3 linked regions of the Drosophila melanogaster genome follow. The protein of the gene in region 1 purifies or fractionates together with the protein of each later gene. This does not show direct contact. Each region holds a gene or a part of one and is shown in the gene's direction. Other genes may lie near its edges.

Region 1 (10,421 bases):
TGTGTCTTCAATGAATTCATTTTTATTAAATTCGAAAATTATAATAATTATCGTTAACTTAAACTTCATGAATGTGAGATATGTACTTTTGTGTCTCTGTATACATGTTATTGTATGGTATTACTTTTGGTCTTTATGGTCCGCGCCTATCACATGTCTAGCCGCACAAAAAACTTTACATATGGATACGGATACTGGCGTATTATATACACTAGATTAAAGATTAAGAGTATTGGCAAAGGAGCGTGCATTTAATGCAAACCCAATTGCAGCCGGTTGAGCAATCGCTCACAACCCCGATCGTTTCGTTTTGGGCTATAATAAATATATATATATATGTTTTACTTCAATAAAGTTATAATTTGCACTGCTGTCTCCTACTTTCCGCGGCGCTGACGCGGCGGCAGATTGTTCTTCTTGCCAAGAATCTTCATTAGCTGCTTGGACATGAAGAACGGCTTCTCCGGTGAGCCGTCGTTGCGCTCGCAGTCCTCCAGGAAGCACAGAAACAGTGTGTCCACTGCCGTCGAGTACACACCGAAAAACACGCTCGTTATGAGAAAGGCGGCAATTACCACCACCGTGGTGGGCACTGCTATGTAATTTAGCCGAATAATGCTCGGATTATTGTCCAGGAAGTAGTAGGTGGACGCCCCCGCCCCTGCGGTTAGCAGCAGTTTCGACAAAAAGAACAAAAAGTCCGTGACCTGATCCAGCGTCACCACACGCAGGAAGTTCCTCATAATCAGATTAAACGAGTCCGCGGCACTGGAGCAGAAGTTCTTGCCATGAATGGCGCACATGATGTAGGCATTCCGATTGAGGAACTTCAGGAAGGTCTCCAGCAACCAGAAGAAGCAGCGCATGCAGCAGAGGATGGCTCGTGTCACCGCATTGTCGTACTTCTTCAGCTTCTCGTGGATGTACTCCAGCACCAGACGGATCAGCCGGACGATGGCCAGGATGAGCGAACCAAAGGCCACGGTGCCCAGATGGTAGACAGCAGTTTGAAAGAATGCCCTTGTAAGGGTGAAGTAGGGCACATCCCTCTTTTTGAAGGTCCAGTACCATCGGGCGAAGGTCGAGGCCAGCACCATGTAGCTGAAGGCGGAGATGAAGAAGCTCAGCCAGAGGAAGCCAAAGACGTTGTAGAAGATGGCCCACTTAATCTCGATTGGATTGTTAATCGAGTCAAAGCTGCAGGTGGTGTTCAAGCAAGGGTTTCGGTTCTGGAAAAATGAGGTCAGCCGAACGCTACAATATTGCTGGAACACTTCTGGCTTGCAGGATCCGCCCACTGTGTAGTTGATGGCTGGACCTTCGCAGACGCAGTCCTCGGTGGTCACTTCGCCACTTTTCGTCAGCTGTCGCACCATTCTAAACGAAGGATCGCCAATTGAGCCCAGATACAGGCCCACGCCAATGGCAAACGCTATGGCGGCAATGAAGAGTATCCAGGAGAAGATGGGAAAGAACACGGTGCTGATCACGCTGCTCACCGCCTTGCTGCCCTCCTTGGTTAGGGCGATCGCTATCCGGATGCGCTTTCTTAGCACAATTACCAGCAACAGGATAACCACGAAGCACACGCCTACGAAGATGGACAGGTAGAGCCAGGTGTTCTGGTTTTGCAGGACATTCTTGACCGTGGAGTGTAGATTCAAGCCGTGTACGGGAACCGTAGGCGTATTCTCCCAGTGGATGTACTGCTTTACGGAGAAGTAAATACCCACCAGCAAGCCGATAAGCACGCCGAAGATGGAGAACCAGAGAATCGGAGCCGAGAGCCAGCGCATTAGAGCGATGTAGATCAGTGAGGCTACCAGGGTGCAGAAGCAAGCCACCAAAACGATCGACCAGGAGTTGACAAGATCCTCGACAATCTTTTCTCCCAAAAGCTGGGCGTCGTTTGTGCCATTGTAGAAGTGGGCCACCATGTTACCAACGAGCTTGGCCAGCCTCGTATCGGTCTGCATCATCTTCTCCTTGATGACAGCCTCGTTGAGTCTGCGCTTGCACTGGATGATCGGTTCCTCGTCCACTGGAGTCTGTTTGCCATTCGCCTGTGGAACAACGAGAGCCTGGGCATCCGTCATTTTCTGGTACATGACATCGGCCTGCATTTGAACTTCTGTGGTGGCGTTTCCGGGCAACATATGCAGCTCCCGCCTCGACCTTCCCCCATTTAGCAGAAACGAGGGAATATAATCACACACGCCCTGCGAGAACTCGAAGAGGCATCGTTTGAGGAATGGAGCACTCTTGATGTACCAGCGTGCGCACTGGTTCTGGTTAATGGCATCCTGAATGTCCGATTTGGTGCGAATCTGCGCCTTGTGCTCCTCCGACAAGCAGATGAGGCGACTATGCAGCTCCGCAAAACTTTGTTTGTCCTTCATAGTGTCCCAGACGAACGTCTCTCGGGGACAAGTCTCCACACAAACCTGTTGAAATACGTATTTCATTAAAAGTAAGATCAACTCCTTGCAAATTTGATGTTAATGGTATCTCACCTGTGGAGTGTCACATCCAGTGATGGGTACAAGTGGATCGATGCACTGATTCAAGTCGAAAAAGAATAGGTTTTTCTTGTTCAGCACTCCGGAGTCCATGCCACACTTTCGGTTAAAGGAGTCCGTGGGCACCAGCAGTTTGTTGAGATCGCCGTTCCTGATGGCGTATTGGGCTATGAAGGCCCATCCGCCCAGGAAGAGGACGAATAACAGCAGGCAGGGCACATCCGTGCAGCTGCGATCCCTCTGCCTCGGTCCCGTGAAGTTCCGGTCGTAGCGCAGTGGCTCGCCGTACTTGTTCATCAGCTCCACGCTTTCCGTCATCGCTCTCTACTGAAAGAGTCCAAGAAGAACCGAGTGTTTTATGTATGTATATACATAGAGCCACTATCGATGGGTCGTCGTCTCTAGGTAATGAGATTGTCAGGCGTATATCATGTAATTTATTTCCGTGCATGCGTCATTGTTTTAAAAATGGAAAACCGAATCTGTAGTGGGTGGTCGTGTTGGCGGTGAAGCCAACCACCAGCGGCTCTTTTTGTTCTAGTTTATTTGTTAGTTTGGTTGGGGAAAGTACGATGAGTAAATGAAATTGTCGGCGACAAAGTGCGGTTTGATTATATCAACGACAGGCGGCCAACGATCCCTTTTGGATTGAACCACAATTAAATAATATTTCTTCCTATGTTTATGAATAAGACTGTTTAACCTTTTAATGATCAATGAACCTAGCTCTGTAACAAAGTTTTCTACTGGATAAATGAACTTTAAGAATGGCTTTGGATGGGCTGGTGAATTATCCATAATTATTGCTAATACATTCTCCTACAGCAGACTCATTTAATTAATCATGAAAGCAAATAGAGAGCAGAAATAAATAAAGTATCGCTCATTCGGTTTAAGAGCTCCCCTGATAACGATAGCGATCGCAACTGTACGAACCTCTTGGGGATGCGAAAATCTGCGAAGAGGTAGCAGTAAAGCAGCTCGAGCATGTCGCAAATCGGCAATAATGACGCATTAAAAAGCAAATTAAATTTGTGCGCTCACTTGTTGCTGTTGTTTGATTGTTTATGTGTATCGCTTTATTTTTGTGTGCGGCTTCTGTCCATTTGAGATGAAAAACTGGCTGCCGCCTTTAATAGATGAATTACCAAAAAAACACACAAGTTTTCATAGAAAATGGGAAACCAATTTGGGTTGGCAAGGCATTTGGGGCCACATGTTTCAAGGTCGATTGCCGTAACTCCATTTTGGTGTAGGAATTTCAATGTCTGGGAGTAGAGTTTATCATTCAAGCAGTGCTACGGGCAACACTCTCAGTAGCTAACCTTTTTTTCTTGCAAAGAAACTTGTAGACATGATAAGAAAACGGGTGTTCGTTTTGATATCTAACCCATTTGCATAATTTGTAGTGTAGAAAACTGGTTTAAACCTAAGTTGTCCTTGCATCGAGTGTTTACTGTGTTCACCTTGGACTACGTCACTTGAGATAAAAGAAAGCAGTCGCAGTTCTGATCTTATCTTATAATGGTAGTCTCTTGTTTCCCATATGAACGATTTCCCCTTGTTGTTTTTTGGAACTACAAATGTACAAGGCCCCGTAATTTCGTAATGAAGCAGTATTACTCACCTTTGCTTCGGAGCCGAACGATTCTTCCAGAGATGTAACAAAGGAGCTCCACTCTTCTCGTCGCTTTTCCTTTCTTTCTTAAAGTTCCTTTATTGTCTCATGACACTTTTTTACGAGCGGCTGGGGGCTTTTTGTTTAGCTGGTTTCCTGGGACGGAGTCACTACTCCGGCGAAAGTCACCGGACCACTGAAAGCGGGAAGCCTTTGTCGGAGCTCCGTATCCCGTACGTTGCTCTTTGGACGTCGGTCACTTGCATTCGTTGGATAAATATGTACATACATACATAAAAGAGCTCGAGTGGGGCTGCAAGCATAAAGGCAGCATAAGTGTTTATGTGCTAGTGTTTGTGTGGTGCCACTTGGGGATTGGGGGTGGGGGAGTTGGGGATTGGGTTGGATTGGATTGTGAAAAGAGCAGCACGGCACACTTTTGTTAATTGCACAATCCTAATCGTTTTCACCCGATAACGAGCACTGGCCATTCCCGTTATAATAACACCTTGCAGTTTCGACCGAATTCGAATTTCTGTGCATGCAACTCTTTTCGTTTCGCTTGTTTTTGTTGTGGAGCGGGCGCATGAAATTAAGCCCCCAAGCTCACGTACTGCGACTCACTTGCACTTGCGCTAATTAAACGGCGAGCACTTGACTTTCTACGAAGTAAACTCCTTCACAATCGAAATAATACTGAATCGCCCCAAGAAAATCTGCCCACCACCCGCGGCCCCATACTCTGAACAGCTGTGCCGAACAGTGCTGCACAACGGCCCGTTCTGGTCAAAACAAAGCAGAAATGTGTGTGGAATGTGGCACTGCACAGGGATGCACAAAAGCTAGTGCGAGTGTTGGCCGCTTTCAAGCCAGATCTCGTTACTTGTTGGAAAGTTTTAGAGCCGCGTAAGTTATAAAAAAGTTTACATTATATTTTGATTTTGGGTCCTTTTTAAACAATTAAGCTTACAACAGCATAAGCCACCTATATATTTTACGTAACCTATCAACTTGGTAGCTCGAAACTTTACTTTAAAAATGAGCTAGATGCCAAGCTAATGAATTTCTAACTAACGGAATTTTGGAAATACATAGCACCCATAACAACTAAATATTGCCAAATGCAGCCAGCCGCAGCAAGTCTCGGCTTGTGCTGCGCGCAGTGTGAACGGCTCGGAGTAATTTGCGAAAACCGCGACCAGTGCTGCGCAACGCGAGTGCGAAAGCCAAAAGCAGGGTCGGATCTTTGGTGCGGGGTGGAGCGGAGAGAATGTAGCGTTGAGGATTTTAACAAGAAACAATTTAAGAATCGCGCTCCTGGCCGTGCGAAAAGCGCCTGGTCGAATCGTTTAAATGTCCCCTTTGGTAGCGTCGATTGCGTGTGTTTAATCCCCGGTGCGCTGCTTTTACAGACTGTGTTGTTTTCGTGCCGGCAAGCCAACCAATTTGAAACCCCCCAAAAAGTTTCCACTTTTTCATTCCCCCAGAAAAGTGACAATTATTCGTGGCCGTGGTCGGCGGATGCAGCTGCAAAGCGGGCGGCGATTAAAGTAGTGCAATCCGGCGCAGGTCCTCGCCATTTGTTTATGTTGATAAAGCAGTGTTTGTGGGGCGACAACAAGAAAGTGCAGCTCAGAGTGAAATTGCCACGGTTATTAAGTGGTTGTGGTTGCTTGGTGTACGTGCAGAAAACCTAAAACAGACATCCCCAGAAGAAGAGGAAGCAGCGGAAAAGGAGGAGGAGGAGCATCAGCAGCAGCGACGTCTCTGTTGTTTTTGTTTGGCTGCGAGAGAGAGAGAGGGAAAGAGCAACGAAGAACACGCGGCTCTTTCGAAAAAAAAGGGCGGGAAGGCCCTTTCGGCTCAAAGGAAACCCTATCCCACTGAATATCCGTAACTCTGCCCGCCGGAAATGTCAAAGGGGGGCGAGCACAAGCGCGTCACCCTCACCTCGATCATCCAGGGCGATGCGGGCTTCTCGCGCTTCGGCAGCAACATCCTGGAGCCTGATGCTGCGTCCGCTGCACCCGACAACAGCTCCAAACCCACGACAAAGACTGCCAAGTGCATCCGCATCAAACTCGATCTGTTCGAGACCGATTCGAACAAGTATCCCGAGTTTAACTACTCCCGGCTTTTGTATTTGGAAAAGGTAAGAGTGTATAACTCAGTTGGAGGATCGCTTTCTAAACCCTTGCAATCCGTAGAAAAAGACCAAAAAGCTGAAGCAGGTGAGCACTACCAATGGCTCCGCAAGCACTGATCCCTTTGCCGACAACGATGACGATGTGGCACGGATCGTCAAGGAGCTGGAGGCCAAGTATGGCAACTCCTATGCCACAGGCAGGGGGAAGAGCAAAAAGGACGACTACCGGGACATTGGAATGGGCTACGATGAGTCGGACTCATTCATCGACAACACGGAAGCCGTAAGAACAAGAAATATTTCCGACGAATGCACTGAAATTATTTACCTTAAACTCTATGTTCTGTCCAGTACGACGAAATCATACCGGAGGAGGCGGAAACTCTGGAGGGCGGCTTCTACATCAACTGTGGCGCACTGGAGTTCAAGAACCTCACCAAGAAGTCCTACACCACTCGAACAGATGCCATCATCAAAATGCCAGAGCGATCACGCAAGCGCATGGTCTCGTCCAGCTCGGAAAGCTCATCGTCATCCTCGGGCGATGATGACGAAAACGATGATGGCAACAATGAGGAGGACGACGAGAGCGATTCCGAGGACGACTCCGAGGAGAACGATGAAAGCGACTCCGAAGACGACTCCGAGAGTGAAAGTCTTGAGGACGAGGACTCTGCTGCTACAGCCAAATCCAGCAGCAAGTACAAAGACAATCATCAAGCTAAGCGGGCCAAGGTCATCGTTACGGGCAAGTCCAAACCAAGCTCAAGTTCTTTGACGAGTGGCAAGAAGCCGCCGACTAAGCCGATCACCACTTCCTCATCCTCAAACTCGCCACGACCCAGCACGGTGGAGATTTCGGACACGGAAGACGGCCAAGACCCTATCCAGACTCAGCCATCAAGTCAGCTTCAGTCCCTGCCGCAGAGTCAGGCCCAGGCGCAAGCTTTAAAGAAGGTGGTTAAGACCACAACGGTCAAGGACATGCTAAAGGCCAAGCGAGACAGCTTCCTGAAGTCGCAGAGCGGCACGGCAGCTGTCAAGGGCGTCGGCAACGGCGAGCTGAAGTGTGTTTCCACCGACGTGTCCAGCAGCGATAGCAGCGATATGGAGTCTGAGCACGGCCGGGCAGATAGGCAGGCCGGTCAGCATGGCAAGGATGGGCAGGAAAGTGAGTTACATATACAGTATTAGTTGGTTGAAATCACCCTTTCACGTGTTCATTTTTAAGATCTTCGCACCGCCGACACTCTGCTCCCCACCACATTGGATGCGGACATTGTGACCGCAGTCAACAGCTTCAAAGAAGCGGTGAAGAGTCGAGACATGTGCGGCAAGAAGTTTAATCTGGATGTGAAGCTTTCGCCACTACTGCTTCGGTGAGTTTGCAGCCGATGTAAACATCAAGTACAGATTTAAGGCTTATATCCATTAACCTACACCAGGGTGTACGAGGCGGTGCTGTGCACGGACCGCAACGAGCGCAACATGGTCTTCTCCCACATCGAGTATCAGCTGCAACTGCCCAAGTACTACATGCTGCGCAAAGGGAAACAAGTGCGGGCGAAGGAGGAGAAGAGGAAGTCCACCATTATGCTGGAGAAGCTGCGGCGGGCTGTAGCTGTGGTCATGCCTAAGGCGGTGGCCAACTATGAGACGGAACTGCGCACATTTGCTGAACAGGCGTAAGATTGTTGTTAAGCGAAATAACGATTAGGTTCCTTTAGATTATGATTATTATTTTCAGAGCTGCGGACGTGAACTCCGAACTGCCGCCCAAAATGCCGCGTAAGAAGTTCCAGTGGACCAGCGAGCTACGCCATCTGCTGTACGATGTGTACCAAGCGCGTTGGACGTCCTACGCTTTCCTAGCCAAGCGCAAGGAATCGTTGGAGGAGTTCATCAATTGGTATCTCAAGGAAAAGGTGGTGGAACTGTGGCCGCCAGGCTGGATGCGTTTGGATGAGTTGCAAAGGGAAATAACACGCTACAAGAACGCCAAGCTGAAAGCAAAGGAGAAGCCAAAGGCACCGCCGGCGTCCGCATCGCCCAAGCCCGTTGGAGTTGTATCTGCTCCTGAGCAAATGCCGCCGGCAAGCAGCTACCTAAAGGCAGTGGAGGACCCTCGATCTCGAGGTAACTCCGATACGGACTCAGCTACAAGTGCCTCCTCCAACAGTCTGAAGCGAAAGCTGAAGGAGATGCCCAAGCAGACCAGCAAGCCGCCAAAGAAAAAGGTGGCTAAGCAGGTACCGCTGCAACCGCAACTTACTCCGCATCCGCAATTCCAGCTGGCGCCGGCTGCCACGGCGGCCGTCAGTATACCAGCCATTAGCAATAACAACAACCACCTGCCCCACCTGGACACGCTGCTCTCCATGCCGAGCACCTCGGCTCAGGCAGCAGCACTCAATGCCGCCGCCGTAGCAGCCGCCAGTACGGTTCTGGATCTGGCATCCCCTAGCCGGAAAATTGACCTTAACACCAGCAACAATTTCTACAATCTGATCACGGCCGCCTCCCTGGCAGCCAGCGGGAATCCCAGTCCGCATTCTGGAGACGGCCAAGCCAAGGTGATTGTGGGAGCTCGGCCCTCTCCCCATGTGATCAACCTGGATGACTATCAATGCACCAGCGATATACTTCAGACGTCCAAGCAGCTAGCTGCCACCACCACTGTCATCACCGCCATCTCAAAGGCCGCGCAAACGACGTCGGTAGCCAGGGAAAGCAGCAGCGAGTCGGATGGCGTTGAGATTGTGGGAGTTTTTCCTGCCTCTAAGCCCCAAAAGAAAGTCCAGTCTAAGCCCAAGAACAAGACTCAGAACAGAGGTCGGTCGTCTTTGGGTGCGGTGGGGCAGGTAAATGGATCCCTGGGCTACAGCGCGAATAACATGTATATCTACAATAGCCCAAGAACGCTGGGTCCAGTGTACGATCTCACCGATCCGCATATAATGAAAACTATGTCAAATCTGAAGGAAATGGAAAAGCAATTCATTCAAGCGGCTTTCTCGCCGAACAGCGTCAAGGGCGCAAGCGGAGGAATGGGATCCTCAGCGCCCAGTACGCCCACGCGCCAATGACATTCGGGATCGGCCGCACAGCAGCCCCTTCCGGCTGCTGTGACGGCCTTTTACAACCAGGAGGCGATGGCCGCCGCCATCGTGCTCTCCACGATGAGCCACGCCTCGCCGCGCTACGACCTGCTGGCCAACGGCTCCGTCTCCATGTCCGCCGCCCAGGTGGGAGCCTCTGCCAACACACTGCCACAAGTATTCGTTAAACCCAGCCTGCCGCAGCCCAGCGCTGGCGGCGATGTGGTGACCACGACTGGAGCTGCTCGCCCATCCACGCAACAACTGCCCACAAAGTTCATTTAGCTAGGGTCACTCAGCTCGTTCCCTTGCGATTCTAATCTAAGATTCTAGTGCTGATTCTAGGTAGGTTTCATTCGCAGCTGTGTCTGCCGATTTTCCAATTATTGCACCAGTTTAATTATTGTTTCTCATTGAGTCGTTTACCTACTAAGTCAGTGTACTATGCAAGCATTAATAAAGCAAATTTATATATATTTATTTATAGAGAACCATTTTTATTAAATAAAGGCGAATAAGTTATGTAATAGAAATAAATCCAAAAGGCGCATTTTCTTTACACACAGCGAATATATATGTATATATATAATTGATACAAAATTAGTTCTGTAAACCAAAGGATAACGCTAAAACCAGCAACTGCCGATAAACACCGACGTGCTGTCACAGAAACGATTACTTAGTCTAATTTGTAAAAGATAACACGCGTGTCTCATGATGATATAGCCGAAAGATCGGACGTCTGTTGGTCTGCGATCATTTGATCCAGCGCAGCACCGATGTGGCCGCCATTCGCACGAAGGCGATGGTAGACTGCTGGTTGGCCGCCGGCATCAGATTGGGATCCGCCAGCTCCGGCTGCGGTGTCAGGCTGGGCACCGCCTCCCAGTCCATGCGCAGAGAGTTTTCGTCTGGAAAGGCATCAGCATCAGTTTGAAAAGATTATTCCCCTCAAATTGCTAAACCAACTCACCCTCTGACTCCGATTCCGTGGCGGTCTCGATGCCGATTAGTAGGGAGTCCACTGACTTCATGAGTGG
Region 2 (10,325 bases), on another chromosome or scaffold:
AAGCTCTACCCGAATGTACGGGCGCCCGGCGTGGTGTTCTCGCCTCTGTCGCTCTGGAAGATTGGGGACGAGAACACGGTGGAGTATCACAAGCAGGCAGAGTTCGACGAGGGGTCCAACGACTGGATTGGCATCTTTCCGTCGGAGTACGCCAGTTTGGCGGATTACGTAGCCTACGAGTATGTCAATCAGGCTGAGTCGCCCTCATCCTCGGACTCCAATCACCAACCGGATCCGTTTGAGACGCCCTCGCATCATCGAAGGGGTCGGCATCATCACAGGAATCGCCAGCGACAGCGTCGCCATCAGGAGGCTAATGCCCAAGAGTTGGTGCGGCTAGATTTCGCCGACGATGTGGAACTGCGTCACGGCGAGCAATACCTGTTGATATATTTCCGCAGCACCGGAGTCCGGGGCGTGACCAGTTTGGCCGGCGTCAGTGGTGTCTTTGTGGCGGAGAAGCGGCACGGCTCGCCCCATCGGACGGAGTACCATGTTGACTAGCTAGCCGAGGCTCTGGATATCTTTATTCTTTAGTCTCTGTTTCCATAACCGCCGTGTTGATCTAATTTTATTGACCTCATGTGACCGTGTTAAGTTTGCTTGTTAGCTGTTGACTCAGCGCCTCCTCTCCTCTCCCCCCCTCCAAAATACGTTAATACATACATATGTAATTATACATAATTATCGAACCAATAATATTTGTGTTTACTACCAATTCCACCTATTCCCGCCCTGAATGAATCCCGCTTTTTCGTTTGCATACATATGTTCTATTTGCTCTGCTGTCATTTTGTTATTTTTATTTGTACGGTGTCATGGCACTAGATATTTGTATTTAACCGGTTTGTCAAAAGGTTAATTACGCCACATTCACTGTCACACATCTACACTATGACACACCCTGTTGCCAGTAACAGGCAAAAACTTATTGATGAGAGCCAGGTGAGAGCTCTAAGCCAAAATGGGCAGAAACCGGAGTCTGAAAAGTGATATTTTTGAATGCCTCTCAAGTGAAATATATAGAGAAAAGGTATTATATTGAATAGAGTAGCAAAGTATGAATATAATTTTATCTTCATTTAACTACTATTTAATGTAGGCAAATTGTATTTAATTTTTTGAATAACAAAAAAGAGAAAAGTGAACTTTTTAACCATGATTCTAAACCAACCAGCTCAACTTACGAAAGATTTTTAATGTTTTAAACAAAAAGAAAAGGTTTTTCTCCGGAAACGTAGACTTTTATAAAGCGGCATGCGATGTTTTTTCCATTATCTGATTGGTATATAATCTATAAAATTTATATAAGGATAGTTTAGATAAGAACTGCACCTTAACGATAGCTGCAACCCAAGTAGACCACCAAGCAGAAAATTCAAGCAATCTGCATTGACTTCCCCCACCCACCGTACAGTGGGTCAATGGAAATCCGAACTGGCGCAGCCCTTGCCCACTCCCACTAATTGGCAATGTTTTGATGACTGACTGACTAACTGGTGGAACGTACAGTGGGCCGTAAAAGTCTGTGGTGCCCACCGTACTCGAACGATCGAATGGTGTAAACATTTTCGAGCCCATCTATGGTCCGAAAACCAAGAAGACAGAGAGCATTAATTTATGCGGGCCCGGTCAATTGAAATTCGTGTGGCTTAGTAACCTTCAGCAACTATTAGATAACTATATTACCCTCATACCAGTGGACACTTAACCAATGTATGTGTATGGGTGTGCATTTACCCACCTACCTATAAACATATAAATATATATATATATATACATACATACAGTCGTATGCCTTATCAAAGTGAACATTAATCAATTTACTTAATCGAATGAAAACGTTTACAATTGTGTAGTATTTTATGAGTACATAGGACAATTTCATGTTGGATTTCAGTTAATGATCAGTCGAATTAAGTGTGTAATGACTATATAAACCAAACATAAAGCATAATGCAAATCAAACGCCTCAATCACTTCGAATACATTGCCCTTGCACTTGAATTATCGTAATTTCTATTTAACTTTTCAAAACAGCATCTTTATAAAGCATCAATACAAATTATATCTAGTGAAAATATATAAAAAAAAATAAACCTTTAATAATAGAAATTATTAGAATTTTCACTTTTCTTGCCAACTTCTCACTCCGCCTTCACCTGGCCTCGTGTCCAACTACCAGTGATGTACTTCAGGTAATAGGCCCTCCAGTTAAGTCCGGTGAGGCAGTCAGTGTGCTAGATAAACTTGAGTTAGTCGATTTTGACGTTAGGTTCTTCATTTTTGCTAATTTGAAACTTGTGTCGGTTAGCTCAACGAGGGATTTTTGAGAAAACTATGGGTTAGCGAGTTGTTGGAATCGTGTTGTTCAGGGTAGAAAGTATTGACGGTGACGCACATGATCCATTTACGCCGGTAAACCAAGAGTTTTGCGCACCAGCCGTCGGGCGATGGCGTTGAACTCATCCCTCTGTTCGCGCCACATAATTGCTGCATCCACATTAGCGCCGCTCTCATCGTTGGGTTCTGTGGGCAAAAATGAACGACATCAGTTTGAACTTAAGGAATGAACAAGTGAAGTGAACTATCGGCATGATCAACCATATAATCTAGTGAACAAATGAACTTGGAAGTAGATACCCCCGTTGGAATTGCCCTTAAGACTTTATTGTGACTTTTTTCTTACCCGCCAGCATGCTGACCACACTAAGCAAAATCTTCTCCACGCTCTGGACAGGACTCCAGCGCTCCGCGGATAGCTCGTAGCCCATGGGATCGTCGCCGGGTGCGTGTAGTATTGATATGCAGACCCGCCCGTCGGCGAATATGTTGGGATGGAACATGTCACAAGTGAATTTCATTTTAGGCGGACTCAGAGGATAGTCGGTCGGAAAGATGAGCCGGGCAGGAAACACTCCGCCCTCGAAACAAGTGCCCTCAGGTCCGCTGCAAAGGGCAAAGTGCAATTAATGGGTTAATCTGTCCACATCTGTCCGATCCGTGTCGATCGTTCGGGGATCTTAACTCACGCAATCAGTGCCTCCCACTCGAAGAAGTTGTCCTCGCTGATGGGGCCGGCCACAATGCCCTCGGGCGGGTCAAGTGTTAACTCTGGAGATGATCGGAGCGGTGGTAAGGGAAAGCTGTTGCTGCCCTGTGGACTTTCGACTCACGTTTGTATTCCGCCATCAGGCGGCGCAGTGCGGACCCAGCCATCCTAAATGCGCTCGATGGTAATGATGATGGTTCAGTTCACGGGCTCCTTCTCCCCACTGTGACCACTTCCTTTGAGTTTCCTTCAGCTGCTTCTCCGTTTCCTGTCCACCTGCTCCTGCACCTGCTACACCCGAATGGGGTCCTTGCTTGTTTTGGCGGCAATCGCGAACTTTCCAGATCCTCGGGCACGGGTCAAAATACAGACACGTCGTAATATAATAAACACAAACGGTGTTCCGTGTTTATTTATATCGAATGAATCGAGTGGCTTTCTATAAAAATATATCTGTACTGAGTGAATTTAACAAGAGTAATCGATTCGATTCGATAACGTCGGCTATCGTTGTTTTAGTATTTCACACCTTCAAACTACCTTATTAAATTAATTATTTGTTTGCTTCTTAAACCATTATTGATGGACACTTTTAGTTGTAAAATTTAAAATTATTTTTTTGTTTTATATCATTTGAATTTTTGGTTCGATTGCAAGCCAGTGTTTTTCAAAGTTGGGATATCGATGACATCGATAGTGAAACGCAAACATCGATAAGTCGCTGCCCGAGTCGATATTATTTATGTATTTGTTGTAAAACAAAAAGAGCGCGATTTTGTGCAAAAAATCGCATATAATAAGATGCACATCAAGCAGGTGAGTGTTGAAATGACGGCCATGCTCCTGGCCACCCATTGGACACCGAAGATCTGAAATCCACCCGTTAATTCCAGATTATTATACAAGGCTTCAAGAGTTACAAGGACCAGACGGTGGTGGAACCATTCGACAAGCGCCATAACGTTGTTGTTGGACGTAATGGCTCCGGGAAGAGCAACTTCTTCTACGGTTAGTATCAGCTCCAGCCTGCCTGTTCAGCTAACCATATTTAATCGACCCTAATGCTATCCCATCCACTTTGCAGCCATCCAGTTTGTGCTAAGCGATGAGTTCACCCACTTGCGGCCGGAGCAGCGTCAGTCGCTTCTGCACGAGGGAACAGGTGCCCGCGTCATCTCCGCCTATGTGGAGATCATCTTCGACAACTCGGACAACCGAGTTCCAGTGAGTAGTCAAACCAAGTGACCCAGAAAACATAGTCTTTGCAAGAACTCTACTGCCTTGGAAGATGTAGTCAATGGTTGTAACATATCGCTCAAAATCCTCTAAAGCAACCCGCTCATAGCATCTTCTCATAATATTCAAACTTATAGGCAAACATTTCTAGCCACTTCATAACTGACGCTACGCTTATTTTGTAGATCGACAAAGAAGAGATCTTTCTGCGGCGCGTGATTGGCGCCAAAAAGGACCAGTACTTCCTCAACAAGAAGGTGGTGCCGCGCAATGAGGTGGTCAATCTGCTGGAATCGGCTGGTTTTTCCAGTTCAAATCCCTACTACATTGTCAAGCAGGGCAAAATCAATCAGATGGCAACTGCCGCCGATTCCTATCGTCTCAAGCTGCTACGCGAAGTCGCGGGAACGCGTGTTTACGACGAACGGAAGGAGGAGTCGTTAAATCTATTGCGCGAGACGGACAGCAAGGTGGAGAAAATCAGCGAGTACCTAAAGACCATCGAGGATCGGCTCCAGACGCTCGAAGAGGAGAAGGAAGAGCTAAAGGAGTACCAGAAGTGGGACAAGACGCGCCGCACGCTAGAGTATATACGCTACGAAACCGAGCTGAAGGACACCAAGAAGGCTCTCGACGAGCTCCAGCTGCAGCGCAAGTCGTCCTCGGACAAAAAGAAGATCTACAACATTGAGATTCAGAAGGCACAAGAGAAGATCAAGGATGTGCAAAAGAACCTTAAAGAGGCAAAGAAGAAAGTGCAGAGCACAAAGGAGGAGCGCTCCGTACTGATGACGGAGCAGCAACAGTTACTGCGCGAGAAAACGAAACTAGACCTAACCATTGTCGATCTAAATGACGAGGTTCAGGGCGACAACAAGTCCAAGGAGCGGGCTGACCAGGAGCTTAAGAACCTTAAGGTAACGATAGCCGAACGCGAAAAGGAACTGGACGACGTAAAGCCCAAATACGAGGCGATGAAGCGCAAGGAGGAAGACTGCTCCCGAGAGCTGCAGCTCAAGGAACAGAAGCGCAAGGAGCTTTACGCCAAGCAGGGTCGCGGTTCACAGTTCTCCTCTAGGGAGGATCGCGACAAATGGATCACCAACGAGCTGAAGTCAATTAGCAAACAGACGCGCGATAAAATCGCTCATCACGCAAAACTCGTGGAGGATCTGAAGAAGGACGCTACCTCCGAAAAGGATCTGGGTCAAAAGATCGAGGAGCACTCATCGGAACTGGAGCAGCTCCGACTGCAGATCGACGAGCACAACAAGAAGTACTACGAGCTTAAGAAGACCAAGGACCAGCATCAGTCCATGCGAAACGAGTTGTGGCGCAAGGAGACACAGATGACGCAGCAGCTGCAGACGCACAAGGAGGAGCTATCGCGGGCGGACCAGGCGCTGCGCAGCATGGCCGGCAAGCCGATCCTGAACGGTTGCGATTCTGTGCGCAAGGTTCTCGACAGCTTTGTGGAACGTGGCGGTCAATCGGCGGAGATTGCGAGAGCCTACTATGGACCCGTCATTGAGAACTTCAGCTGCGACAAGACCATCTACACGGCGGTGGAGGTAACAGCCGCCAATCGGTTATTCCATCACATTGTGGAGTCAGAATACGAGGGCACGCAAATCCTCAAGGAGATGAATAAGCTGAAATTACCGGGCGAGGTGACCTTTATGCCCCTGAATCGACTTCAGGTTAAAATACACGATTATCCGGATGATCCCGACTCCATACCTATGATCTCCAAACTGAAGTACGATGAACAGCACGACAAGGCGCTGAGGTATATCTTTGGAAAAACGCTAATCTGCAGAAATTTGGAGCGCGCCACCGAGCTGGCCAAGAGCACTGGGCTGGATTGCGTTACGCTGGACGGAGATCAAGTGTCCTCCAAGGGATCCCTCACTGGCGGCTATTTCAATACATCCCGTTCCCGTCTTGAGATGCAAAAGAAGCGCACGGAATACACCAGCCAGATAGCTGAATTCGAAAAGAAACTCAGCAAGCTGCGAAACGAGCTCAAGTCCACCGAGAACAACATCAACTCAATCGTATCCGAGATGCAGAAGACGGAAACGAAGCAGGGCAAGTCGAAGGATGTATTCGAAAAGGTGCAGGGCGAGATTCGCCTGATGAAGGAGGAGCTGGTGCGCATCGAGCAGTATCGTGCGCCCAAGGAGCGCTCACTGGCCCAATGCAAGGCCTCATTGGAGTCCATGACCAGTACGAAATCTAGTTTGGAGGCGGAGCTGAAGCAGGAGCTGATGTCGACGTTGTCGTCGCAGGATCAGCGTGAGATTGACCAGCTGAACGACGACATTCGTCGACTGAACCAGGAGAATAAGGAAGCGTTTACGCAGCGTATGCAGTTCGAGGTGCGCAAGAACAAGCTAGACAACCTGCTGATCAACAATCTGTTCCGGCGTCGCGACGAACTGATCCAAGCGCTGCAGGAGATTTCCGTGGAGGACCGCAAGCGAAAGCTAAACAATTGCAAAACGGAACTGGTTTCCGCCGAAAAGAGAATCAAGAAGGTCAACTCCGATCTGGAGGAGATCGAAAAGCGGGTAATGGAGGCTGTGCAACTGCAAAAGGAGCTGCAGCAGGAGCTCGAAACGCATGTGCGTAAGGAGAAGGAGGCCGAGGAGAATCTTAACAAGGATTCCAAGCAGCTGGAGAAATGGTCGACCAAGGAGAACATGCTCAACGAAAAAATCGATGAGTGTACGGAAAAGATTGCCAGCTTGGGCGCCGTGCCGCTAGTTGATCCTTCCTACACACGCATGTCCCTGAAGAACATCTTCAAAGAGCTGGAGAAGGCAAACCAGCACCTGAAGAAGTATAACCATGTGAACAAGAAAGCCCTGGATCAGTTCTTGAGCTTCTCCGAGCAGAAGGAGAAGCTCTATCGCCGCAAAGAGGAGCTCGACATCGGTGACCAGAAGATCCACATGCTAATTCAGTCATTGGAGATGCAAAAAGTGGAGGCCATTCAATTTACGTTCCGACAAGTGGCGCAGAACTTCACCAAGGTGTTTAAGAAGCTGGTGCCCATGGGCGCGGGCTTTCTCATCCTGAAGACCAAGGACAACGAAGGCGACGAAATGGAAAAGGAGGTGGAAAACTCCGATGCTTTCACAGGGATCGGCATTCGGGTTTCGTTCACCGGCGTTGAGGCTGAGATGCGTGAGATGAACCAGTTGTCTGGTGGACAGAAGTCGCTTGTCGCCCTGGCCCTCATTTTCTCCATCCAAAAGTGCGATCCAGCTCCCTTCTACCTATTTGATGAGATAGATCAGGTGAGTCGTCACATTACCTATAATTACGCATTACTTTATTTGATTGACTAATGATCTACTAATGTTTTGTGCAGGCGCTGGATGCAATGCATCGAAAGGCGGTGGCGAACATGATCCATGAGCTCAGCGACACTGCCCAGTTCATTACGACAACGTTCCGGCCGGAATTGCTGGAGAACGCGCACAAGTTCTACGGCGTGCGATTCCGAAATAAGGTCAGTCACATTGATTGTGTGACCAGGGAGGAGGCCAAGGACTTCGTCGAGGACGACAGCACCCACGCCTAGGAAATTGCCCCGCCCAAAACCTCATCCCTCAACCCACCACAACCATCTCTCGCCCCAATTATTAGTTTCGTAGGCGTACGATTTGTTTTCACATTCTTTTAAATCGTATACATATATATATATATAGTTTTCTTTCTAACGATACTTGCTACATTTAATTTTCCTTAACAATGAGAGTTAGTTTTCGGCTAGGCCGTGCTCGTTGCGTGGAACACTTCGAGCCGGCGAACAAAACCGAGAGTATAGAAACTCCAAGCCCAGATCAATATGTAATAAAGCGCATAGAGAAGTAATTTAAACTATATTTAAAACGAAAATATGTATTAAAAAGCTTATGCAAAAGGAAACCGTCTAATCCAATATAATTCCACACTTTTATGTATGTATGATAACAATGCAATAATTGTTTCGAAATAAGAAGTCTGGTTTATTACTCAAAAAATTGTTCAACAACGTGCATCTTATAATTAAATGTTGGTGTCTTAGAGCTTGGCAATCAAGGCTCCAGTCCCTGGTTGCCCGACCAGCTACTCTCAGCTGGCCACAGCGTCCAGTTGCTCCTGGATGGCATTCAGCGCAAAGATGGTGCTAAAGCACATGCCCACGGTGGCCACCTCCAATTGGCTGATGTTGTAGTGCAGCGGCAGTCGCCACAGGACAAAGTGATTCAGCAGAACAAGCAGGGCCAGGCCAAGTGACCACCAGTGCTCGTCGACGATGGCGATGCGCCAAAGACAGTGGACATTCCACAGAACACAGAGGCCCAATTGCGCGGCATCCAGTTTTATGAATGTGGCACCCAGTGGACTGCGACTGTTGCCGAACCACAAGCTGGTGACTGCAAGTGCCAGTACAGCGCTCCACAGTCCAAAGGCCAGACGCTCCCAGTCGGCGCCGAAGAAGTCACCCATTCGGGTGGCCGGATTTACGGTCTGCAGCTCGCCCACCACCAGGGTGACAAATAGGACGCAGGAGTAACGTCTCGACTTGTCGCACAGCAGACGCTGCACTGCGCCCGGATTGGGATGCGTGTGCCGCAGCAGGCAGAGCAGGCTGTGGCCAAAGTAGATCCCAAAGGCGGCCATCGCCTTGCTGCCGGTGCTCCGTTTCAGACCCCAGCCGGAGATCACGGCCAGGACGAAGTGGATCAGGCACAGGGCTAGCAGGGAGGTGCCACCACTGGACCCCGGCAAGGGACCATGATTCGGAGGAGGACTTCTGTTGGACACCATTGTTTTGACTTGAGAGCGATCACGCCGGTTGCCGGTGATTCCACCTCAAGGTGGCAAATCTTCCGTCCAGTTTGCGGACGGGCGACTTGATTCCTCGACCAAGTTTGTTGCCGATGTAACGGCGGATAAATGATCTTTAGTTAAACTTTATTAAATATTTGTTGCATCAAAACAATAACAAGATTTACGTCAATATTAAATCAGTATCGTATTTCGACATAAGCGTGGATTTTTTAGGTGGTTTCTTTCATCGATAGCGTAAATTCCTCGATAATATAACGGATTCGGTATAAGTGTGGACACAGCCTTGAAATATGCCTTTTTGAATTTGACTGTTCATCCGGATAAATATGCCTCTTGTAAAAGCATACTTGTAATAGGTCGAGTTCTACATAAGGAGAATACAAAAGTTTACAACAGATAGTTGATCAAACATTTCATTTTTATTTAATCAACTAGCATTCACGTGGACAAAAACGTATACAGATGTTATTTTTATATACTAGTGGATTATATAGTAAAATACTTAAGTTTTTAAGATTGTATAATTTCTAATAAGAAAAAATATTCTTATGGGCTTATTTTGATGTCAATGCAGCAAAATGTATGCTATGGTTTTTGAAAAGGGAAGTAATTTTCAGTTAACAATATAACCGTGCATTTTTTCTTATTATTTACGAACCTAAGAAGTCGTGTTTTATTGCATCGAATTAAATTACAATATTATAAGTTTTTAGGTTTAAATTACTGATTTGTTAAAAATTTCAATCCGATTTGAATAAAACTGCTAGTTGCTTTTTGTTCCATCCCTATTATATTATATCCAACTGAGAGTTTTCATATTTCCATACACCGCGAAACGGTCACACCGCACCGCATTCAGTCCAATCGGAATCGCTCCTCGATAAGCCCAGACAAATCACGCCTCTATCGATTTCTTATAAGAAAGGAAAACGAACGAGCGTGTTATCGAGTGCAACATTTGCGATTTGCCCTGCTGCGCGCGTGCACTTTTTATTAATCTCCCGTATAAATCAGATATCCGTGTGCATTTCGAACGCGCTCCGTCAACACACACACAAAAATTAAGTAAAAAGTTTAACACGAATTGCGAATAGCGAAAAAACAAAAGCTTAAACCGTCGAGTGTGAAAATTTCGAGCTAAAAGCAAAACGAAGTTAAGGTAAATTGCAAGCAGTCACTGTTTTTTTTC
Region 3 (8,628 bases), 4.8 Mb from region 1:
TATCATTTGAACGAAAGTGCAGTCCACATTAGCCCAAAGATGCCACCCACTTGAATTTGCTCTGCATCTCAGGATGGTAGAAGATGCACTCCAGCTTGTTTACGCAGTTCTTGCCGAAGCGGCAGGGCTTGGGATGATAGAAGGTGCAGCCCAGCTTGGAACAATTCGGATAGTACTTGCACATGGTAGTCGCAGTCGTGGATGTAACAGGAGCCGATATCGACTTGTAGTTCTGCACTGGGATGACGTGAGAGGCTGTAAATTAAAAAAAAAGTTTGTGAGTTTGTAAAATTAAATACAAAGGCTATCAACTTACATAGTGGTGGAGCAGCAAGCTGGACATGGCTTAGATCCCTTTGACCGCCATGGGCGTAGTTGCAGTCTATGCTCATGCAGGCCATGTCGAATTTGCACTTCGGATGCGAGTACATGCACTTGTCCGCGAATTTGCAGTTGGGGAAAGACTTGCACGGCGCCGTTGGATGATAGTACTCACAGAACTGCTTTGTGCAGTTTGGATGATATTTGCAGCGCTCCTTGGGTTTGTTCACCTTCAGCACGGTGGAATCCACGCTAACTGCGCTCACTAATTGGGGCAAGATATTAAGTAATTGTTCAAATTTGTTAAAATTGAAAGAATACACTTACACGCCGGCAAGTTGTCGTATTTCCTGTCCTCCGGATTGCGTATGGATACCCTGCGTCTCTCCGGAGCCGCGACATCACGATCGGGGCTGCCAGAACGACGCTTCTTACTCGCACTCGGCTCGTCCTCACTTTTAAGAGTGAAGCGAATGGGCGTGTGCTTGGCTTTGGTAGTTGTCGAAACGGAAGTGGACGCACTGACAGATTTGGCGGCCGATGACGTCTCCGCTGAATTAGATCTTACGGATTTCTCCTTGCTGGAAGCTTTCTTCTCCGCCCGCGCCTTTGGTTTGGCTGGCAGCGGTGGAGTTGTTGAGCCTTCCTCGATTTTACCCTTATCCTTATTGTCCTTGTGACCATTGGCCGCCGCTGGCTGGCGCTTGTTTGGTGATCGTTTCTTCGGTGACCCGTGCATTTCATCATCTTCATCGGTGTCATTTTTTATGATGATCTTCTTGATTTCCTGAGGCTGACGGCGTACCTCGTTGCGATTGATGCTGCGTGTTGTCGGCAGGGAGGGTGACCCACTGCTCTGTCTCGGCGATGGCGAGAAGCTTCTATCCCGATTGGATCGGCGTCGCTTGTCAACCGTCGTAGATGTGGGCTCAATATTAGAGGAGGACACTTGTGGCGTGGATACGGGTGAGGTGGATCGTTTACGAGAGTTGCTCGGCCGCTTGCGAGAGGCCCCTCCCTTGACATTCTTACCTCCGAGAGCTTTGTCGCCGTTTAACGTGACCACAAACTGAGTCTTGAGGGCTCCGGAATTGGGACTTGGCTCGTCGTGGGAGCTGATGTGCAAATCCAATTCATCCACGTTGGTCAGCAATTGCGGCACATACGTCTCGACGCCCTCAGTCATTAGGCTTGGCGTATATTCTTCCTCCACCACTTTGATCTCGGCGCGACGCTCGTTGGACCGCCGTTCACGCTTTCCATCCCTTTGTGTCACATTTACCACTAATTCCCGAGTGGTGCGCCGGAAGAGTTCGTTGCCTTGTGCACTTCTCTTTCTTCGTTTCCTCTCGCGATTCCGTTTACGAATCTGATCATTCTTATCCTCCGACTTGCGCTTGCCTAGAGAACTTATGATCTTGCCCACATCCTCGTCCTCCTTCTGTGTCGAAGTCTTGGCGAGGATTGTGGAACGCTGCGCGTCCGCCACTGCTCGCAGCAGGAGGTTCTTGCAGGCCTGTCGTCTGGGAGAAACATTTGGTCTTGGCTTGACCTTAATAACGGAGTTGACTGGCTTTTCGGCCATATCCTCATCGTCCGACGGCTCCGGTGGCTTGTTAACGGCCACAATAACTTGGGAGACAATGCGTTGCTTTGTACTTGGAGCCTCCGGACTAGGCGAACGACGCTGGCGCTGATTACGGTTAGTGTCCCTAGAGGTATCGCGGCTGGAGCGTCGTTCTCGGGTGCGCTCTCTTTGACTGCGCTCTTTGGTGGCCTCGGGTTCGCTCCGTCGCCGATGGGTCGGCACATAGAGCTCCTTTTGGTTGCGCTGCGAACGATCTGCCGGCGTTTGGGCCTTTGAACCGAGACGGTCATGCACCGATCGCCTTTCAGACCGGTCTTCCTTGGCCTTGTCAGCCGAAGAATCTTTTTTGGGGCTCTTCTCCTCCGCCTCCTCCTGGCGGGAATCGATCTCCGGTTCAGCCTCTGGACGCTTTTCGGGTGTCTTCTCGCGTCTGTTAAAAATAATGGGGCTCTTAGCTTTTCGTGGTGGAGCCTCCAATTTCGGGGGATCCTCTTCTGGCTCCTGGTCTACAGACTCCTCCCTCGCGCTCAAGTTCAACAGATCCTCATCATATTCATCGCTTTCATCCCCGATCTCGCCAATCTGGCGTAAATGCTTCTTGGCTGCATGAATTTTCTTTTGGATTTCGGCCAGCTCAGCGAGGTCTTTTTGCCGGTTAACACCGATAGTAGTTGAGATGATCTCAGACACAGCGGGCACATCCAGCGCCCTATTGGCCGATGCATCCTCATCCTCGATGGACTTGCGATTTTTCTTTTTGTGCAGGATCTCGTCTTTGGCACTGAGATCAATGTCCATGGTTTTCTTTGCCTTCTCGAGAAGCTCTTCGGCAAAAACATCCGTGATGGAACTGACAATTGGCATGGCATCTGAGGAACTTGGCTGTGGTTCCGACAGCTCATCTCCGGACTTTCGGTGCGGTCGCTTATCCTTCTTGGATCCTTTTTTGTCCTTCTCCTGACCGCGAGACTTGCGCTTCTTGCTGGAAGCTGAAAAAATTGGAGTTAGTGGGTGCTTAAGTATGATGAGCATATCCATCATACCACTGGATGTGGGGAGTGTGACCTCTTGGAGCTTTTGCAGCACTTCGTGCAGCCAGGTGACAAAGAGGTCAGTTTGATCGCCTAGGAATAGATTCAGCTCGGCGTTCATCTGCTGTTTGGTGCGCTTGTTGGCCACCATGACCATGACGTAGTCCGGCAATTCATCGTCTATAAAACCGGCCGATCCTCCGGTTCCCAGCTCCAGCAGCTTTGCCTTTACGGCGCTCTATTAATGAAGTGCAAAAATATATATAGTATTGGAGTATCCAATCCGAGCGGTATCCATAACGAGTTCATTGATTTTTTTCCAATGACTTACGCGCATCTTCTGACCAATCTCGCTGCCCAGATTGCACTCCATGTTTGCTGGTTTATCTATCGCCTTTTTCGCTGTTTATTCGCCGCGAGCATTTATTATTTACGCTTACTTTGTGGCTACACTCCACTTTTTGTTACATTAGAAAATGGCAAAACCTCCCAAAAAAAAAAAATATCGCAGCTGCTCCGATATTCATAACTAGTGGTGTGCGTTTGACATTAAGGGTATTCACGTTTAATTCACACGTTTTATAATGTATATATCGATTTTCTATAAACATAGCTTTAAAATAATAAATAGTTACAGAAATTTCATTTGAAATTAAAATGGCAAATTAAAAACTTCTGAAATTTAAAAATGCTCCTGGCCATGGCCATGAACTGAAGTGCAACATAACTTCAAAATAATCAACACCAATGGGACAATTTAAAAATATAAAAAGATTTCACTTGTTATTCATTAAATCATAAGTCTAGTTATCAAGAATTTGTGTAGTAGCTATTAAATTACATTCGAAAATTAAAAGCGAATAATTGCAAACAGTTTATTTAATCACATAGCTAAATATAAATTTCATAATAAGCTTAAATTCCAAACCAATGGCTACGAATATGTTTGACTGAGAATTAAAATTCTCAATTTGAAGTAAATATCTTAGATTGTAGAATCCTGCGAAGCATTTCAGTGCATCATCTCAAATTCAAATACGAAAATTGGCTCCTTCGGCTAAGACTCGATACCCATCTTGTGAGCCCCGCCACCAACTATCGATACGCAAAGGCATTTCATTCGGTGGGAATGGCAATCGAGTGTCACACGGGAAGAAGAAGCTGCGAAAAGAATTTTAGAAGAAAGCAACTGCAATTTTGTCATAATCGGAGCTGCAATTCGCAATGAATAATGGAAACTAGACAACCCAGTTCCGGTGATGATCTAAAGCCAGGTGCGTACCGCCCGGTGGCGCAGCGAGTGCGTCCAACGGGGCTACCAAAGGCAGCCCCTTTGACTTTGTGAAATGTGTGTCTGTGTTTCGCTCGCCCTTCGAATCGAATGGCTGCGTTTTTTCGACTGCGTTTCGCCAAGCGAAATTCACGGGCCCCTTTGGCCAGATATATCTGGAATATTGACGACTCCCAGCGAGCGCATTTTCGACAACTTGTTGCACTAAAACCCGTGAAATCCTCTATCTTGCAGAGCTGTACTTCCTCATTTCCAAGTTCCTGGCCGCGGGACCGCTGGAGGAGACGGCGAAGGTGGGTTGAAAGCAGCGCTCGCGCGAGATCGCATTGGAATCGTATTTCGCGCTAAAAGAGCGGAATTTCGTTTTGTTTACAAACATTTACATTAATTCTGAAACTAAATTCTATCCAACTGTAGGTCTTGATCCGGGAACTCGAAGAGAAGAAGGTGAGTTTTGTTGGTGCTGCAGCTGTGTTTTTGGCACAGATATTTCGGACTCGAATTGAGAGGGGGGCCAAAAAAAAAATAGAAAACCGCGTTTGTTTATACGCTTTGTTTTGGTTTTGTTGTTGTTTCTGCTGCCGGCAGCGAACGACGAAAAACCCACTTGTACGTCCGCTTGTCTCAGAGTTGGGAATCAGACTGAATTGTGGATTTGCTGGGGCCACGTGAATATATAGTCCATTAAAAAAAGAAGAGAAAAACATGAAAAAAGAAATGGAATCATAGGGATGCCCCCGCGACGTCATCGTCGACGTCACGGAGTGCAAGTGATAAGAGTCATACATGCATGCATATATATTTACACCCGTCTATATATACGTACACCTTTCGATTCCCAGGTTTTGCCGCGTCGTCTCGATTGGCAGGGAAACGAGCATGAGCAGACCTTTGAGGAATTGGTGAGTGTTTTCATAATTAATCAATTAGCTTTTCAAAGTTATCGTTTAATGCCTTTTGATCGGCATTTAAGTCTTGCGTAAGTGTGCGTCTGCTGCGGCATTTTCCGTCTCAGTCGTTCGCTCGCCTTTGTGACGTCATCGTGTCAGGGAATAGAGAAAAAGTTGCACATCAAAATTCAAGTTGTTAATTTAAAAAACATTACAACTAAAGACATCAATCATTCTGACTGTTAAATTAACAAATAAGTAAGCAACTATTTAATTAAAAAGGCAGCAAAAAATTGCAAAAATTCGTAAAAGACTAAAGTGGAAAGCAAAAATTCTAAAACCCTCGTAAAAATTGTAAATTTTGAAAAATCTTAATTTTTTAAACAAATGCTTTGTAATTTAGTTTTAACAATTAGCTGCAACCAGCCGACATTTTGGTTTCTCACACATACACATGCCCATGCGCACAGACACATGCAAGCAACCACCACTTTGCCTTGACTTGTGCGCGAGGGAACGAGACAAGCATACGTTGTTGAAGCTATCGCACCGTTTATCGCCCAATCGATAGGAATACGTTAAATTTTGATTTTGAATTCGCAGGAACGAAAGTACAAGCACATTGGCGCCAATCACTTGCTTGAAATATGCAGTCGTCTGGGTCCACTGGTGGATCGCGAGCTTCCGCCCAGTGTTCCGGGCATCAACTCGCTGTTGGGTACTGGGCGCCAGAACCTCCTGCGCACCAAGGAAACCGTCTACTGCCATCGCTCCTTAAGGGACTACTGCACCCGCCTGAATGGAGTCTCGCTGCCGGATTCGGTCCTTACAAAGCCGACCCACAACTTAGGTTAGTTGCATGGTAGAGTTTTATTCGCATATTAGAGACTAACCCATTTATATTTCCAAAGATCGCGTTCTAACTGGACGGGAACACGGCGGGGAAGTCCGTCGCAAGCTCCTCGTGCCCACGGACCTCTACCGCCGAACAAAATTGCTCCGTCGCACTGTGGGCCACCTGTCCTCAGTGTACTGTGTTCTGTTTGATCGCACAGGAAGATACATCATCACCGGAGCCGATGATCTACTTATTAAGATATGGTCAGCGGCAGATGGCCGCCTGCTGGCCACTCTGCGAGGCGCCTCATCCGAGATTACAGACATAGCCATTAACTTGGACAATACGATGCTGGCTGCCGGGTCATTGGATCACATACTAAGAGTGTGGGACATGCAAACCACATCACCCATCGCCGTACTGTCTGCTCACACGGGCATGATAACTTCGGTTAACTTTTGTCCGTCGCCACGTAGCGATCTGAAATATCTGGTGACTACCAGCACAGATGGATCGATCGCCTTCTGGCAATACTCAACGCCGCGCGGGCAAAAGATCACGTTTGCCCCGAAGCCAACGCAGTATCATGAGAAACTGCGGCCCGGACAAGCTCAGATGATGTGTACCACCTTTTCGCCAGGAGGCATTTTTCTGGCCGCTGGGTCTGCCGATCACCATGTGCGCGTCTATATGATGGGCGAGGACGGTCCGAAGCGAATATTGGAGACGGAAGCTTACACAGATGCCGTGGACTCGGTGCAGTGGTCGCATCGTGGACTGAGATTTATATCGGGGAGCAAGGACGGCACAGCACACATCTGGACGTTTGAGTCGCAGCAGTGGAAAAGTTCCAAACTATGCATGACGGAGCGTCTGGCCAGGTGAGTGCGATTTTCTTTAAAATGTTTCTAGCTAGTAAGGAATTCTCTGAAAACTAATAGCTTTGTAATTAAATTGCAGCTGCCCGGAACCAGAGGAGGGAAAGAGGCTTAAGGTAACCATGGTGGCTTGGGATGCCTCGGACCGTTATGTCATCACCGCCGTAAACGATTTTACTGTAAGCATCCGTCTTAAAACGTGCTAAACATTTACTTATAATTAATAATCCCATTTAAAAACAGATAAAAATCTGGGACTCGAAGTCAGCCAAGCTGCATCGTGTTCTGCGTGGGCACAAGGATGAGCTTTATGTGCTTGAGTCGAACCCAAGAGATGAGCATGTCCTGCTTTCCGCCGGGCACGATGGCCAGGTATTTCTGTGGGACATCGAGCAGGGCGTTTGTGTGGCCAACTTCCTTAACGACATCGATGGCCAAGGCCATGGCAGTGTCTTTGATGCAAAGTGGTCACCGGATGGCACAATGATAGCTGCCACCGATTCGCATGGACACATCCTGATTTTTGGTTTGGGCGTGTGCATTGAAAAGTACAAAATGGTAAGTTGATTGAGGAGTATTTTTCAAAGGATAAAGTTAAATGTATTTATTCTTTCAGCTTCCCACGGAGCTGTTCTTTCACACGGATTTTCGACCTTTATTGAGAGATGCGCAGCACCATGTGGTGGACGAGCAGACGCAGATAATGCCGCACCTAATGCCCCCGCCTTTCCTGGTCGATGCAGATGGCAACCCGCATCCATCAAGGTTTCAACGATTTGTGCCTGGTCGTGAGAGCTGTAGCCTAGACCAATTGATTCCAAATCTTACGGTAGGCGTGGATGGCGTAGTAATCGACGATGGAGGTGCAGGTGGAGATGCTGTTGTGGCCGCTGCACCCGCTGAAGCTCCGCCAGCCGCATTGCCCCCTGCTGCTGCTGGAGGACCACAGGGAGCTAACTACTCCCATATCGACCGCATGATTGCAGCCTTGGCCAATCGGCAGTCGGTTAATGTAAATGCCAATGATGCCAATCCGACCAACGGCAACCAGTCCTTCGAACGTTTGACCAATCGTCAAATGCCGGACTCCAATGGCAGGCAATCGTCACGTGGCAATGTCCTGGGTAGTCGTTTGAGCACGCCTCGCCAAGGATGGGGTGCCGCAGCTGCCGCGCCAGTTGAGGATCAAGCAGGGCCGTCTCAACCTCCGGCAGAACCTGCAGCCGAACCTGGCCAGGCACAAGTCCAACAGGCGCTGCCTCTGAAATTCATCCGTCGCACTTATGTGCGTCCCATGAAGTATCCCCAGTTGCAAAACCTTAAGCAGACTATTTACTCTGCCGGTCAGTTTGAAAAGCAGGAGTACAAACGCGAAATGCGACGCCGACCCATCATGATAAACACTGCCAGTGCAGCATCTTCGCAGCAGCCAGGAAGCGTTGGCAGGCCACGAAACACACGTGGCAATGGCGGCGGCGCAAGAGCTGGACGAAGACGTGGCCCCCAGCCAGCTGGCGGACAGCCACAACCCGCTTATCGCACCCGCGCTGTTCGGGATCAGGAGCCGGAGCACTACGATGAGGTAGCGCCGCCACCCGAGGAAGAGGAGGAAGATGTGTCCAGCAACTCGTCCGGCGACACGAGCTACTCGAATGTGGAAGAAAACCTAGAGGACAGCAGCGATGAGTCGGAAACGGACAGTTCCGATTACTCTGACTGGGTGGCGGATACTCCTGGCCCGAATCTGGAACCACCAAAACGATCCAAGCGTAAGCCACTCTCACGGCGACC

The links.
Region 2: the proteins of yem (region 1) and SMC3 purify together in Drosophila melanogaster (affinity purification with western blotting; one study listed by BioGRID). This does not show direct contact.
Region 3: the proteins of yem (region 1) and BRWD3 purify together in Drosophila melanogaster (affinity purification with western blotting; one study listed by BioGRID). This does not show direct contact.

What each region holds. Positions count from the first base shown.
Region 1 is NT_033777.3:29,117,830-29,128,250, reverse strand, and holds yem (yemanuclein), read left to right. Parts: upstream 1-5,371; 5' UTR 5,372-6,049; coding exon 6,050-6,289; intron 6,290-6,344; coding exon 6,345-6,566; intron 6,567-6,634; coding exon 6,635-7,454; intron 7,455-7,514; coding exon 7,515-7,662; intron 7,663-7,728; coding exon 7,729-7,968; intron 7,969-8,030; coding exon 8,031-9,369; coding exon of another isoform or gene 9,370-9,666; 3' UTR 9,667-9,921; downstream 9,922-10,421. Other genes in the region: Ctl2 (choline transporter-like 2), read right to left, coding at 378-2,444, 2,514-2,837; Atg14 (Autophagy-related 14), read right to left, coding at 10,138-10,292, 10,355-10,421. UniProt on the Drosophila melanogaster protein: May play a key role in egg organization. May be a transcriptional regulator having a role in chromatin remodeling in concert with Hira, a histone chaperone. Involved in chromosome segregation by affecting kinetochores function in the first meiotic division.
Region 2 is NC_004354.4:16,586,895-16,597,219, reverse strand, and holds SMC3 (structural maintenance of chromosomes 3), read left to right. Parts: upstream 1-3,780; 5' UTR 3,781-3,853; coding exon 3,854-3,868; intron 3,869-3,945; coding exon 3,946-4,060; intron 4,061-4,136; coding exon 4,137-4,276; intron 4,277-4,473; coding exon 4,474-7,593; intron 7,594-7,667; coding exon 7,668-7,880; 3' UTR 7,881-8,224; downstream 8,225-10,325. Other genes in the region: CG9784 (uncharacterized protein), read left to right, coding at 1-504; Ubc7 (ubiquitin conjugating enzyme 7), read right to left, coding at 2,411-2,529, 2,690-2,949, 3,033-3,114, 3,177-3,219; CG13014 (uncharacterized protein), read right to left, coding at 8,414-9,112.
Region 3 is NT_033777.3:24,314,944-24,323,571, forward strand, and holds the start of BRWD3 (BRWD3), read left to right. Parts: upstream 1-4,056; 5' UTR 4,057-4,171; coding exon 4,172-4,214; exon of another isoform or gene 4,215-4,465; coding exon 4,466-4,524; exon of another isoform or gene 4,525-4,648; coding exon 4,649-4,678; exon of another isoform or gene 4,679-4,839; intron 4,840-5,073; coding exon 5,074-5,133; intron 5,134-5,724; coding exon 5,725-5,971; intron 5,972-6,032; coding exon 6,033-6,840; intron 6,841-6,919; coding exon 6,920-7,016; intron 7,017-7,080; coding exon 7,081-7,395; intron 7,396-7,453; coding exon 7,454-8,628. Other genes in the region: Nab2 (nuclear polyadenosine RNA-binding 2), read right to left, coding at 29-255, 317-586, 649-2,898, 2,953-3,178, 3,272-3,313.